Linked DNA regions of Drosophila melanogaster. The protein of the gene in region 1 interacts with the protein of each later gene in a pairwise test. Each region holds a gene or a part of one and is shown on either strand. Other genes may lie near its edges.

Region 1 (5,829 bases):
CGATGCCTACAGTCCGGTGGGCGTGAGCGAGGCGCTCTACGCGGAACTGGATCGCGAGTCCGTGCGATCCGCCAATCCCTCATATCAGAATACGGCCTACAGTCAGTGTGGCGAGGTGGGTAGCGCAAATAAAGTAAAATAATAGTTGGTAAATTGGTTTAATACCTACAGCCCAATTCATGACAGAAATTCAGTAATAATTCAGAAAATAATCCTGCAATCCACCCTTCATTACAGAAATACAATTACCAGGGCCACGAGCAGGACATTCCCATGGTGGTCTCCTCGGCACCCAGCAGTGCTTACTATTCGGATCTGTCGGTGACCGCGATGCCCGGCGGAGCGAGTGGCAGTAATCAGGGCGCCTACGAGATTGTCGGACTGAACGTGATGTCCCAGCCGCTGCCCAACTGGGATCATCATGGCGGAGGAGTGGGAGGTGGCGGTGTTGTGGCTGCAGGAGCAGCAGCCGCCATCCTTGGAGGCGGTGGTGGTGGGGGCAATGGCCTTACGCCGGGCGAGGCTGCGGCGATGACGCAACGACGAGGTCCTCGACTGGCGGCCATCAACGAGACGAGCACCAGCACAGTGCCCTCGGACTATGTCTAAATGGAGTAAGCGTTTAAATACAAACATAATGTGAAATGTTCAGCGAGCTTAACATGTTAATAGGATATAGAAGTACGTTATATACACCCCACAGATCTAAGGTTAAATTTACATAATATTTAACACTGGCATACCATAGTGTTTAGTGTTTAGCATGGACTTGTGTCTTTGGTTAATGTCTGAAATTATAATCTGTACCCGTTGCCGATATTGGGATATATTTATACACACTTACAAGGCAAGAATGTATTATATGTCTAGTTTTTATGTAGTCTCTAAGCAACGATTTAATCGTGGGTGATATTTAGCCTAAAAATATGCTATATTCTTATGTTCTACGTACTTTAAACATTTTCTAAAAATGTAAAAACGACAACAAACGCATTTTTTCATAGGCTTAGAACGAGTGAAGTGAACGCGATGGACAAGAAATCGTATTTCCCCCCAGGATCAGTACACGCAAATATAGAAACGATATATACATACGAATACAACATATTTATACACTCAATATTTACAGCAGCCGAAAAAAGAAAACGCATTTAGCTCACCAACATATATAACTATACAAATATATATCTATAACAATAACTGAAGAATCATATTTACAACGATTTTAATGCAACAGATTTCACCATATTTACCGGGGGAAATGATCGTGGCACGTCATATCATTTACCACACCATTATACATATGTATGCAAAGCTATCTATATACTATACCATATACAATAAACAGACTCACGACCTTTAGCAGATGTACTTTAGTTTTTAGTGGTCCGCGGCAGGAAGCGAATCCTCTGCCGATTTATTTAGTAACACACACACACACACACACAATTCCTGTACATTATTGTTTTAGTTGAAAATATAATTAAACAATTATTGATATTTACATTCTGAATCCCAAAAGGAAATGGTTCTTTATTGGAGTATTTATTTGTCGATACAGTAAGTACAATAGTACTCTTAAAGTATATAATTTCATTTTTAACCGAGTAAAAGGTTTTAGTTCATAAAAAATAGGTAATAAGAAAACAATTTTATAAATTCAACAAACTTAAAGTTTAAGAAACAAACAGAACGAAACAAAAAACTATAACTACACTTCATAAAAGAATATGCACTTTACCCTTTACTTCCTGATTTGGATAACTTGGCATATTCTCAAACGTGAATAACTTAAACCAAAGTTTATTGCAAAACTCCCCGTATCCTTATACTTCCTGATTTATTGTCAGTATTCGAAGTTATTGTCGTTTACTTAAAGTGTAAGTTGCAAATGTGACTATAATACTAAACGTCTTTTACCCTAATCTTCCTGATATTTTCGTTGTTAAGGGTAAATTGACATACATAAATGGTAAGAAACTAAAAGTGCAGTTTCTTTAAAATAATTCACTTTACCCTACACTTCCTGATTAGTGTTATTAAGGGTTATTGTCTCCATTCATAATCTCTTCTTGTTTTGTTAACATTATTTGGGGTTATCGTCATATACTTGTACCTTCCACCTTCTGATTTATTGTCATTAACTTATACCCTACACCATAAGATTTATTGTCGTTATTGCGGGTTGTTGTCATATTAATTAGTTTCTTGATAAGATAGAAAAACTACAGCTTATTAATTAATGCCATTTACCCTAAACTTCCTGATTTGTTAACGTTATTAAGGGTAAAATGGCATGTATTTGTGCCATTAGAAACTAAGACTAGTTTATTAAAAATTGCCTCTTCCCTGCTCTTCTAATTCGTTATCGTAATAAATCCCTCAATAAAGGAGGTATGTAAATATTAATTAAGTTGTGAGTCAAGTAAAATACGATATGAATGTTGTACTTTCCACTGAACCTAAAATAGAAATATGTTAACTTCTTTAACCCATGCTAGTCAGTTGCAGCAGAGCACAAGCGGTCTGCTGATTATCCCCCGATTCGTGGACCTTGCGATGGGTGCGCAAGGCAGAGGGTTGTATAAATTTCTTGCCGCAAACGTGACACTCAAAGTTCTTTTCGCCAGTGTGGGTCATTTCGTGATATTTTCGCGTGTCGGTGGTGGCAAATTTCTTTTCGCAATAGCTGCAGGCATAATCTCGTGCCTTCTCGTGGATTGCGCGGATATGTTTCTTAAGACTCGTTGAGCTGTTGCAAACTTTGGGGCAATCCTTGCAGGACCAGGTCCTTTCCAGAGTATGATAGTTGATATGCAGTCGCAGTTCGTTTTTGGTCGTCTTCTTGAGACCACAGTAGGGGCAACTAAAGTTCTTTATGCCCTGGTGACGCATCATGTGGATCTTGAGTTTCTCCGTGCTATAGAATCGCATAGAACATTCCGGCAGTTCGCAGGCATATGGCAATACCAGCTGGTCACCGTGTGTGAACCGATGCTGGCTTAGGGCAGAGCCAGTCTTGAACACCCGACCACAGAACTCGCACATATGGGTCTTCAAAGGCTTGCCAATGTCGTGAGCCTTGCTTTGGTGGTATTTCAGCGAGGCCTTGTGCCGGTACATCCTGTTGCAGCCCTCCTCCTCGCAGACAAACCGCATGCCCACTTCCGAGTGCTCTAGCTCGTGCTGCCTGAGGTTCTCGAATCGGTTGAAAGCTTCCTCGCATCCGGGCTCAGTGCAATGATACAGCATGTGTCCCTGGTGTTCCTTCTTGTGCAGAATCAAGCGTTTCTCCTCTCGAAACTCGTCGGCGCACAAGTCGCACTTGTATGTGGTCAATGGCGGCTCCTGAAATCATTGAATACAACTTAACTTACACTCCTGTTTAAACCTTAAACCCAAACTCACTTCCAAAGCTTTCTTTTCCGTTTCCGGGGGTTGCTGGACATTTTCGGTGAAGGTATGGAATACCAAGGTTGGCGGTGCCTGTTCAGCGACTATTGGGGTATTTTGTGCACTCAAATTGGTATCACATATAATCATCTCCGGCGGCTCCAATAGAAGTTCTTCCAGCTCCAGCTCCTCTTCCTCATCTTCATCGACCTCGTAAACAGGTTTCCTGCGATCTATTTTCTTCCAAGTTACCAGACTTTTAGAACGCCACTTATTGTCGGCTATAATGCAAAGTGCTCGGAAGGAGTGGAACTTCTCCAGAAGCTCGTAGCACTCCGAGCAAATTTCGCTGGGCAAAATATCCTGGTCATCAGGATCCACCACCAAATTTGTGCACTCCGAAAATTTGACGGCGAGATATGGATGGTGCAGCAAATTGTAGGCCTCGTCGTCTCTAGCCACATCGCTGGAGCATACGCGGCATTTGTCCAGGTGTCCCATTAAGTGGTTGAATCAAAGTTATTGAGACCTTTTTTTAAATTCACAAGAAAAAATATTTTTCTGTGTCCTGTCTGCCGTTTTTTCTTATCGCTGTTGTTTGTATACTAAACAGCTGATAGGGCTGGCAAAAATACCGCTGATAGCAATAGTGATGGCAAATAATAGCGTGAGTTGGAAGGGGTTAAATAAATATAGTATAAATGTTTAAAAATATCTACTGTAAGCATACCACAAATAATGTTAAATACATTTATATTTTTAATCCTTGCACGTACAATAAATGAAATTAATCGTGACTTAAAACAGCTTGTTACTCGTGGCACATCTCTAGCACCCTGTGCTAAAGTCACATCTCTAATGGGGGGTGTATAAAAAGTTGTGCTGTTGCAGTTTGTTATTTATTTTTTTCCAGCACAACAATGGATAATTCCAATGGAATCCACTACATTGAGCTAACCCCAAATCCCATACGATTTGATGCTGTCAGCCAACTAACCAATGTGTTTTTCGATGACTCCAACAAGCAGGTATAGTTAAAACATGTTAAAAATCCATGTTGATGATGGCTAAAAATCTATATCTGTAAAGATATTTGCTGTTCGGTCTGGAGGAGCTACTGGTGTGGTGGTCAAAGGTCCTGGATCTCCCGACGATGTCGTCATCTCCTTTTGCATGAGCGACCGTGGCGGTGCCATAAGGTCCATTAAGTTCTCGCCGGACAACCAAATCTTGGCCGTTCAGCGAAAGGAGAATTCCGTGGAGTTCATATGTTTTCAGGGAGATCAGCCTCTGCTGCAGGACATCATTACCCACCAGGTGAAGACTCTGATCCATGGCTTTGTTTGGGTCCACAATCGAGAGGTGGCCCTGATTTCGAATACCGGCGTGGAGGTCTACACCGTAGTTCCTGAGAAGCGACAGGTGCGCTCTGTGAAATCCCTGAGCATTGGCATCAAGTGGTTCGCCTGGTGCTGCGATGCCAATGTGGCTCTACTGTGCACCAGCGAAGGAAACTCCCTGATTCCGGTGCTGGTCAAGCAGAAAGTAATCACCAAGCTGCCCAAAGTGGACTGTAAGTAATCCTTTTGGGTTAAAATCCTTTAAAAGCGTTTTAATCTTTCCTTTCAGTGGGCAATCCAAGTCGCGATGTCCAGGAGAGCAAGGTCACCTTAGGCCAAGTTTACGGCGTGCTGGCTGTGCTTATCCTCCAGTCAAATAGCACCACCGGACTGATGGAAGTCGAGGTGCACTTGCTCAATGGACCGGGCTTGGCTCCACGCAAGTGCCATGTGCTCCGCTTAAGTCTGCTTGGTCGCTTCGCCATCAACACGGTGGATAATCTGATTGTGGTGCACCATCAAGCTTCGGGCACTTCGCTGCTATTCGACATCTCCCTGCCCGGAGAGGTGATCAATGAAATAACCTATCATACACCCATAACTCCAGGGCGCTCCATCAAACCGTTTGGCCTGAAACTGCCCTCACTTTCGCCTGATGGACAAATCTTGCAGTGCGAGTTGTGTAAGTTCTTTAAATATCCAAAAAGTTACTTTATTTGACACTTATACCCATGCAGATTCCACGCACTGGGTACTGTTCCAGCCAAATATTGTAATCGATGCCAAGTTGGGTTGCATGTGGTTTTTGAACCTCTGCATTGAACCATTGTGCCAACTGATTTCGGATCGCATTCGACTTACAGAATTCCTGCTGCAACGCAGCAATGGCAAGCAGATGCTATTAAAAGTCATTGGACAATTGGTAGATGATCAGTATAAGGGAACTCTATTGCCAGTCCTAGAGACCATCTTCAGTCGGATTAACAAGATCTATGCGTAAGTTAAAGACGTTATTTTCATCAATATATATTTATTACATTATGCATGGTATACTTTAGGTCTTGGGTCCAGTTGGAGCTGCAAAATCAAACCGCTC
Region 2 (6,331 bases), on another chromosome or scaffold:
AGTGGCAAGTCATAAAATTGAAACAATTTGGGCAGAAGAACCGAAATGCGTTCGCCTTACTGGTGAACAAGGGGTGGAGTGGGGGGGTTGGGAGCATATCATAGGCACTTTGCGCAAGTGCCGACAACAAGAGCAAATAAAAAAGAAAACAATGAAGTCGGTTGCATTGCGTCAGTTACAACATGGCTAAGACAAGAAGAAGAAGAAGAAAGACGAGGGAGAGCCGCGCAGTCTGCTCCAAAGGCGAGTTATTCTTAGAAAAAACCTAACGATTGTGCAAATGCACGTGAGAAGGCGAGGGAAATGGGAAAGAGCGCACTTCCGACCGGGGAAAATGCAGCAGACAAAAACTAAGACAAAAGCGCCACGGAAATTGCTGCACAGATAAAAAATAGTGCGTCTTCTGTAGATTTTTACTGATTATTGTTATTATTTTAGCAGCTTAAGTACTGATGTATCTTGTAGATATTTGAAGTATCTATAAGATTCGTTCTCTTTCGAATTATTATTATTATTTTTTTTTCAATCTCTGTAGACTTAAGTGAGGTTTTAGGAATTAAAATGCATATTGAATATTTAAATGCTTGTTGAAATTGTTTGAGGTGTAAAAGCTTTAAAAACTATTGTGCATTTAATTAAATGCGGAAGACCCCACACAACAACAACAGCAGCAACAACAACAGAAACTGAAACAAAAACTACAACTTCCAGCGCACGCAATGCCAGACCAACCCCAACGCGTGCGAGCGGGACGGGGCGAGTGCGCGAGGGAGAGGGGGCGAGAGCGGTACAAAGAAGTACACAACGCACAAAATTTGGAACACGCTGCGTTTGCTAAGTAGGTCAAAGTGGCAGCGGCGCCGGCAGCGCAGTCGAAAAATATTGCGTGTCAACTGCGCCGCATTTTTTTTTTTTTTTTGTGCATCGGCAAGAAGCAGAAGTAATATATTTTTAATTTATGCACAACCCCAAAAAATATCTACACCCCTTTCCGTGCGTGAGTGTGTGAGAGAGTTTGTGTGTGTGTGTGCGTAGATACACATGTAGAAGTGACAAGCAAGCAACTTTTGCTTTTTTCTCGCGTATTAATATGCAACGCCAAGTTTTGAGTGTCATAAATCATACGCAAAGTGCGTAGACAATTTTTCTCTTGACCAAAAAATGTTTTCCTTACTTTTTGCATAAATTATAATTGTAATTAGAGGCGGAGCACTTGCCTTTTTTTTACGAGCGGTAATTGTTTGCAAATGTTTGTGGACACTTTCTAAAAAAAAAAAAAACATTTTTCATTTTACGCACTTTTTCGTGCGTGGGGAAACTTAAAAGGGCCATTAAGAAATGCGAAGAGATGTGTGAAAAAATGACAAGTTGTGAATTTTTCATAAATATAACATAACAAACTCACCTTAATATTCAATTGCAAATTTACGCATTAATCCAAATCCAGAATCCTCAGTTGTAACACCTTTCACAAGTGGTAATTTTGAATTTATAAGTTTTTCTTTTTAGTTTTTCTCACTTCACTTTTTTTTTCACTTAGGCCAAATGTTCTAGTTCTTTTTGTTGCTAATTAGTTAGGATATATACTCGAGTTGTTTTTATCAAAAATTGTTTACCAAATATTCTCCGATATAATTCGTAAGCATAGATATATGTATAGGTATATATTTTATAAATACATGTATTACGATTGGTAATTTTTTTTTTTACTTTATTCTTTATTTATTTTGTTAAATGATTTTGCTTTGCTTTTATCGAAACGAAATTTTTATGCAAACTAACACACACGTTTTATCTGCTGCTTCTGTTGCGGTTGCTTTTACTGTAGTGATCACTGTAGTAGTTGCTATGGCTGCTGTTGTTGCTGTTGTTGTTGTTGTTGTTGTGTTGCTGTGTTTAGTATTGCGTATGTCCGAACCAATAATTTTGAATAGTTTACCAATTTGGTGGCTTAAATTTTTGCGGTTTTCTGCGTTTGTTCTAAAAAGATTTCCCTCGGCTTTTCAACTGATTTTGGGCTGGTTTTTGCTGACGGTTTTGGTTTTCCTTTTGTTGCGTTAAAAATTTACATTGATTTTATTAGATTGTCATCTTAGTTGCAAATCATTTTCACGTGTGGACGTTTTGAGATAATTACAATTTGTGTATATTTTATGTATGATGTTTTGTTGCCAAAAATCGTTTTTTGTTAATTTATTTTTGTTGTATTTAATTCAAGACCAAAACTTATGTTGCCAATTTTAGAATTTTGCGTTGTTTTTCGAAATGTTTTTGTTTTCAGTTCATTTTTAGGTTGATTTGTTGCAATTTCGCGTTATTTGATTCAATTAAATTGATTTTGAATATTTAGATGGTTAAATGTTCTTGATTCGCATTTTGTAGCATTCGCTGGTTTTGAGGTCGTTGAATGTTTTTCTTGACTTTCCTAAAATTTGCTCGTTGAGACATTTTCACATTGACATTTGGCTGCAAATACAAAAGCGGTTAGAAAATTGTTATTAAAAAGTGTAAGTGGAATTTGGCTGATTGAAACTCAAATCTATTCGGGGATAATGTGACATGTTTTAAGTATTCATTTTCTTTTTAATATTATATTAATTTGTCACAGTTCACCCGAATAAATTTCATTTCATTTGTGCCCAGAATTTCTGGTTTCTTATCAGCCCGATTTCTTGTAAGTGGAATTGGATTAATGATTTTATTATCGCAGAATATATTTCATTTTCCCATTTTGGGACCGTAATTCCCACTTTGCTTCTGGCAAATGTCTTTTATTCTACTCAAAAACACTTTATATGGCATTGGGACTTGGAAATTTTGGGGAAGGGGAAACATTTTTATTTGAGCAGTGAATTGTCTAATTGTTTTAAGAACATTTACTTCAAAACTATTTTTAAGAAGTTTTCACATTTTGTAGTGTATTTCTGTAGTTGTTCAACACTTGTTCACCGTTATTCTACACTTTTCTCTCGCTTTTTTGAACAAGTGTCCTGGGGATTAATTGCATTTTGCCTTCTTTCCTGCACTTCATGCACTTTCCTCTATTCTCCCTTAATTGCTATTTCGTAGCACACACACACACACACACACACATAAACACACAGTGCAAAAAAGGGGTTCAGTTCACTGGTATTGCGCCTTGTTTATTTTCAGGGGGAGGCGGAAAACGGGGAGGGTTGTTTATTGTTCCATGTACTCCTCGCTGTTGTTGTTGTAGTTTGCTTTTGCTTATTTTTCTATTGTTGTTGCTTGATTAAAAATGCAGACGTTTTGGTTATGCATAAAAGTCTATACTTCACTTTTTCTCAGTTTGCTTTTGCTATTCGCTTCATTTTTTATGCTGCGTTTTGTACCGTTTGAAATTCGAGTTGCAAAGTCACACACACACACACATAGGCCAGAATTTCATGTGTGCGAGAAAACCAAGTACACACGCATAATTGTTCATTTTTGATTTTATGTCACTTTATTTGAGCTTTGAAACATACCACATGCACTTCAATATGATCAATATTCACTCAAAATTACCTTTGAATTACTAGGCGAACAGCCGTTTTGCAACACTCACGACGCACTCACGCACTCTTGCCACACACATGCACACTGGACAGTTAGTTTGTGCATTTGCTTTGCTCGACGAAACACAAACAAAACGTAAATAATAATTAAAAGTGTTCAATGCCGCAAACTTTTAGCACTTTTCGCTTTTTGCACTTCATCCGCTGCAGTTCTTTCAGTTCAGAAATGTAGAGAATAACTGTTTTATCAAGCGGTTTCGATTCTGTCCGTGCTTCCTCGTTTCTTAATTTACGTGTAAAACTTGAGTTGCCTGCAGTTGCCAGGGCTGACGAGCGACGAGGCGATGCGAATTTGCGACTGCGAATGCGAATGCACAAACGCTGCTGCTGCTGCGAGCACCACCGAAACAAGCAACCGCGAAACTTCAACACGTCCGTTCAACACGGCAGTTTCTTTTTGACTGCCGATTCGATTTCGATTCCAACAGGCGGCGAACGAACAAGCGTGCAGTGGTGTGCTCCGTAGAGAGAGAGAGAAAGAGAGCGCGAGCGAGCGAGCGAGCTTTTAATCCAATTGGAATGCAGGCGAGCAACTTGCAATTGTCAGATTGGACATCTCCAACAAGGATTCTTAAAAAGGATAACCGAAAATAGTCTAAAGTATAACAGAAAATAGTTTACATATTTTTTTTTAATGATTTTTAGAACACAATTTACTCAGGCGAGTAGAAGTAATGGTCGTTGCAACTGCTTTTTGCATGTCTTTTTCTGTGTGTATGCACTGCCGCCCCAGGATAAAAATTACATATATCCTCATAATCCGGGGGTGAGTCTCTCACTCTTTCTCTCACTCTCTCTTTTGCAGGCGCAATTGCATAAGGCAAAGGACATGAGGTAATTTATAGGAGCTCCGCTCAAGTGGAAAATGTTTAGGGAAATCTCGTCCCGAAATAGCAAAAGCAAACCTTAACTTGGTCTTAACCTATTCGAACAGCGGGGGATTCCATCCAGGTGGTCTCTGAATATTAGATGCAATAGAAATAGGGTTCGCAAGAGGCGATTTATATGGAAAACCACTTTAAGATCGGCACAATGAGTTAAGATGGGAATATGGGAAAAATGTTAATTGCATAGCTTTAATGCAAAAGAACGCATTACGTTTCTTTAAAATCTTGATCACTCTCAGAAAACAAAAGTAAAGGATAAAATTTTTTTAGTGGAATTCTTTGGAATTCTTTAGAAAATTCTTACAATTGGTCTTTGATTTCTAGGAAGAAAACAATAATAACCTAACTACTCAGTTCTCGCATAATTTGCATATCCCTTGAGAACTTTCCGATCAAACCATCAAAATTGGAACAAAAACCCTCAAAATGCTTTTCATTTCTCAGCCCAAAAACTTCCCCTATTCACACAAGTGTCAGGAGTCCCTTTTTTGAATGCAATTCCCATCAAAAATATCAAATTCCTAGCCAATCAAACAATAACCACTTAATTTTAGTGGAAAAAGAGTTGATAAAGTTGAATCAAACAATTACCTTATTTCTATTCATTGACAGTTCGTTAGCAACAGTATTTTTTTTTCAGTGCAGCCTTGCCAAAAACAATAACAATGCGCATTCGTTTTGCAGTGAGCGAAAGAGAGGAGAGAGCGGTAAGCTTTTTTTTGGCGCATGTTTTCCCATTCTCTCTCTCTCTCTCTCTCTCTGCTGCCATTTTATGCACACACAATGACAATGAAAGCTTGTCGGTAAAGGGGCGGGGTGTGGTAAGGGAAAACGAACAATTTACGCGATTCAAGAAACACGTGGAGTGCCGGCGTCGAAAATCCAATAAGCAAAGGCAAAAGCTCCTGCTTTTGCTGCTGCTTTTGCTTCCCCAGTCGGAAGTGGAATTATTCCGGAACGCGTTCCTTAATAATTCTTTTTCGATGCATTTTAAATTAATTTCATATATTTTTATTTTATAAAAATACCACTAGATCAAACCCTTTCCATAACGAAAAATGCAGTGCATTTTTCGGTCGAGCGCCAATAAACCTCACTCCACCTCCTAAATCCACCCCTGTGCTTCTCTTTTTGGCTCTCCATTTGCTTTTGCAGTACTGCACGCACTTTTTGGACCTACGTCTTCCCCTGCTCTTCGTCACTCAACTTTTTGCTTAGCTACACAACTTTTGTTAGCGCACTGAAAAAAAAAAACGTGGAAAAGGAAAAAGTAATAAATTAAATAATACTAGAAGTACAAGCAATATAATATTATTATATTATATAGTAATAATAATGTAACAATATATATAATTATATACAATGGATAGATTCTAAACGAGAAACCAATCATACGATTCATGTGCATTCAGAATTCATCTGAACTTTAGAAAATAGGCGCATCAAAATATTACTTTTATTGATATTTCGTTTCTTTTATTTTCTGTGCATTTGAGGGAGTTGTGGAAAGGGGCTGGATTAAGTGGGTGGCTGTGCGTTATATGCTCCACTTTTTGGGCCTGCGACCACAGCCCCGAAATTCTGTTTCCGAACGCACTTTTGCAGCTTGCGTTCGTATGCCTTGTATACACACGCACATACACACAACGTCTGTGTGTGTGTGCTTGTGTGGGGCGCGTGCGTGTGGTTGTGTGGGTGTTTGCATTGGTGTGCGCGCATTTTTGGGTGTGCGTTTTTTGGTATTTCGTGAAATTTTAGCATTTATTTGTTATGTACTCAAACTGACGTCGCTGCAAAGTTGCTTTTGCTTTTGCTGCTGCTGCGCTGCTTTTGCTGTTTTTGCTGTCTCACTCTCTCTCTCTCTCT

The links. Proteins that work in one complex are often made in the same cells at the same time.
Region 2: the proteins of CG10147 (region 1) and chinmo interact in a two-hybrid assay, tested with the Drosophila melanogaster proteins (one large-scale study listed by BioGRID).

What each region holds. Positions count from the first base shown.
Region 1 is NT_037436.4:6,484,448-6,490,276, forward strand, and holds CG10147 (uncharacterized protein), read right to left. Parts: upstream 3,978-5,829; 5' UTR 3,895-3,977; coding exon 3,409-3,894; intron 3,349-3,408; coding exon 2,488-3,348; 3' UTR 1,720-2,487; downstream 1-1,719. Other genes in the region: CG42747 (uncharacterized protein), read left to right, coding at 1-115, 238-609; bulli, read left to right, coding at 4,314-4,421, 4,483-4,966, 5,023-5,415, 5,471-5,729, 5,792-5,829.
Region 2 is NT_033779.5:1,648,910-1,655,240, reverse strand, and holds the start of chinmo (chronologically inappropriate morphogenesis), read right to left. Parts: upstream 3,984-6,331; 5' UTR 3,529-3,983; intron 2,467-3,528; 5' UTR 1,406-2,466; intron 1-1,405. UniProt on the Drosophila melanogaster protein: Required for morphological differentiation of postmitotic neurons during postembryonic brain development. Ensures production of appropriate neuron subtypes within a lineage by preventing precocious generation of late neuronal types of that lineage.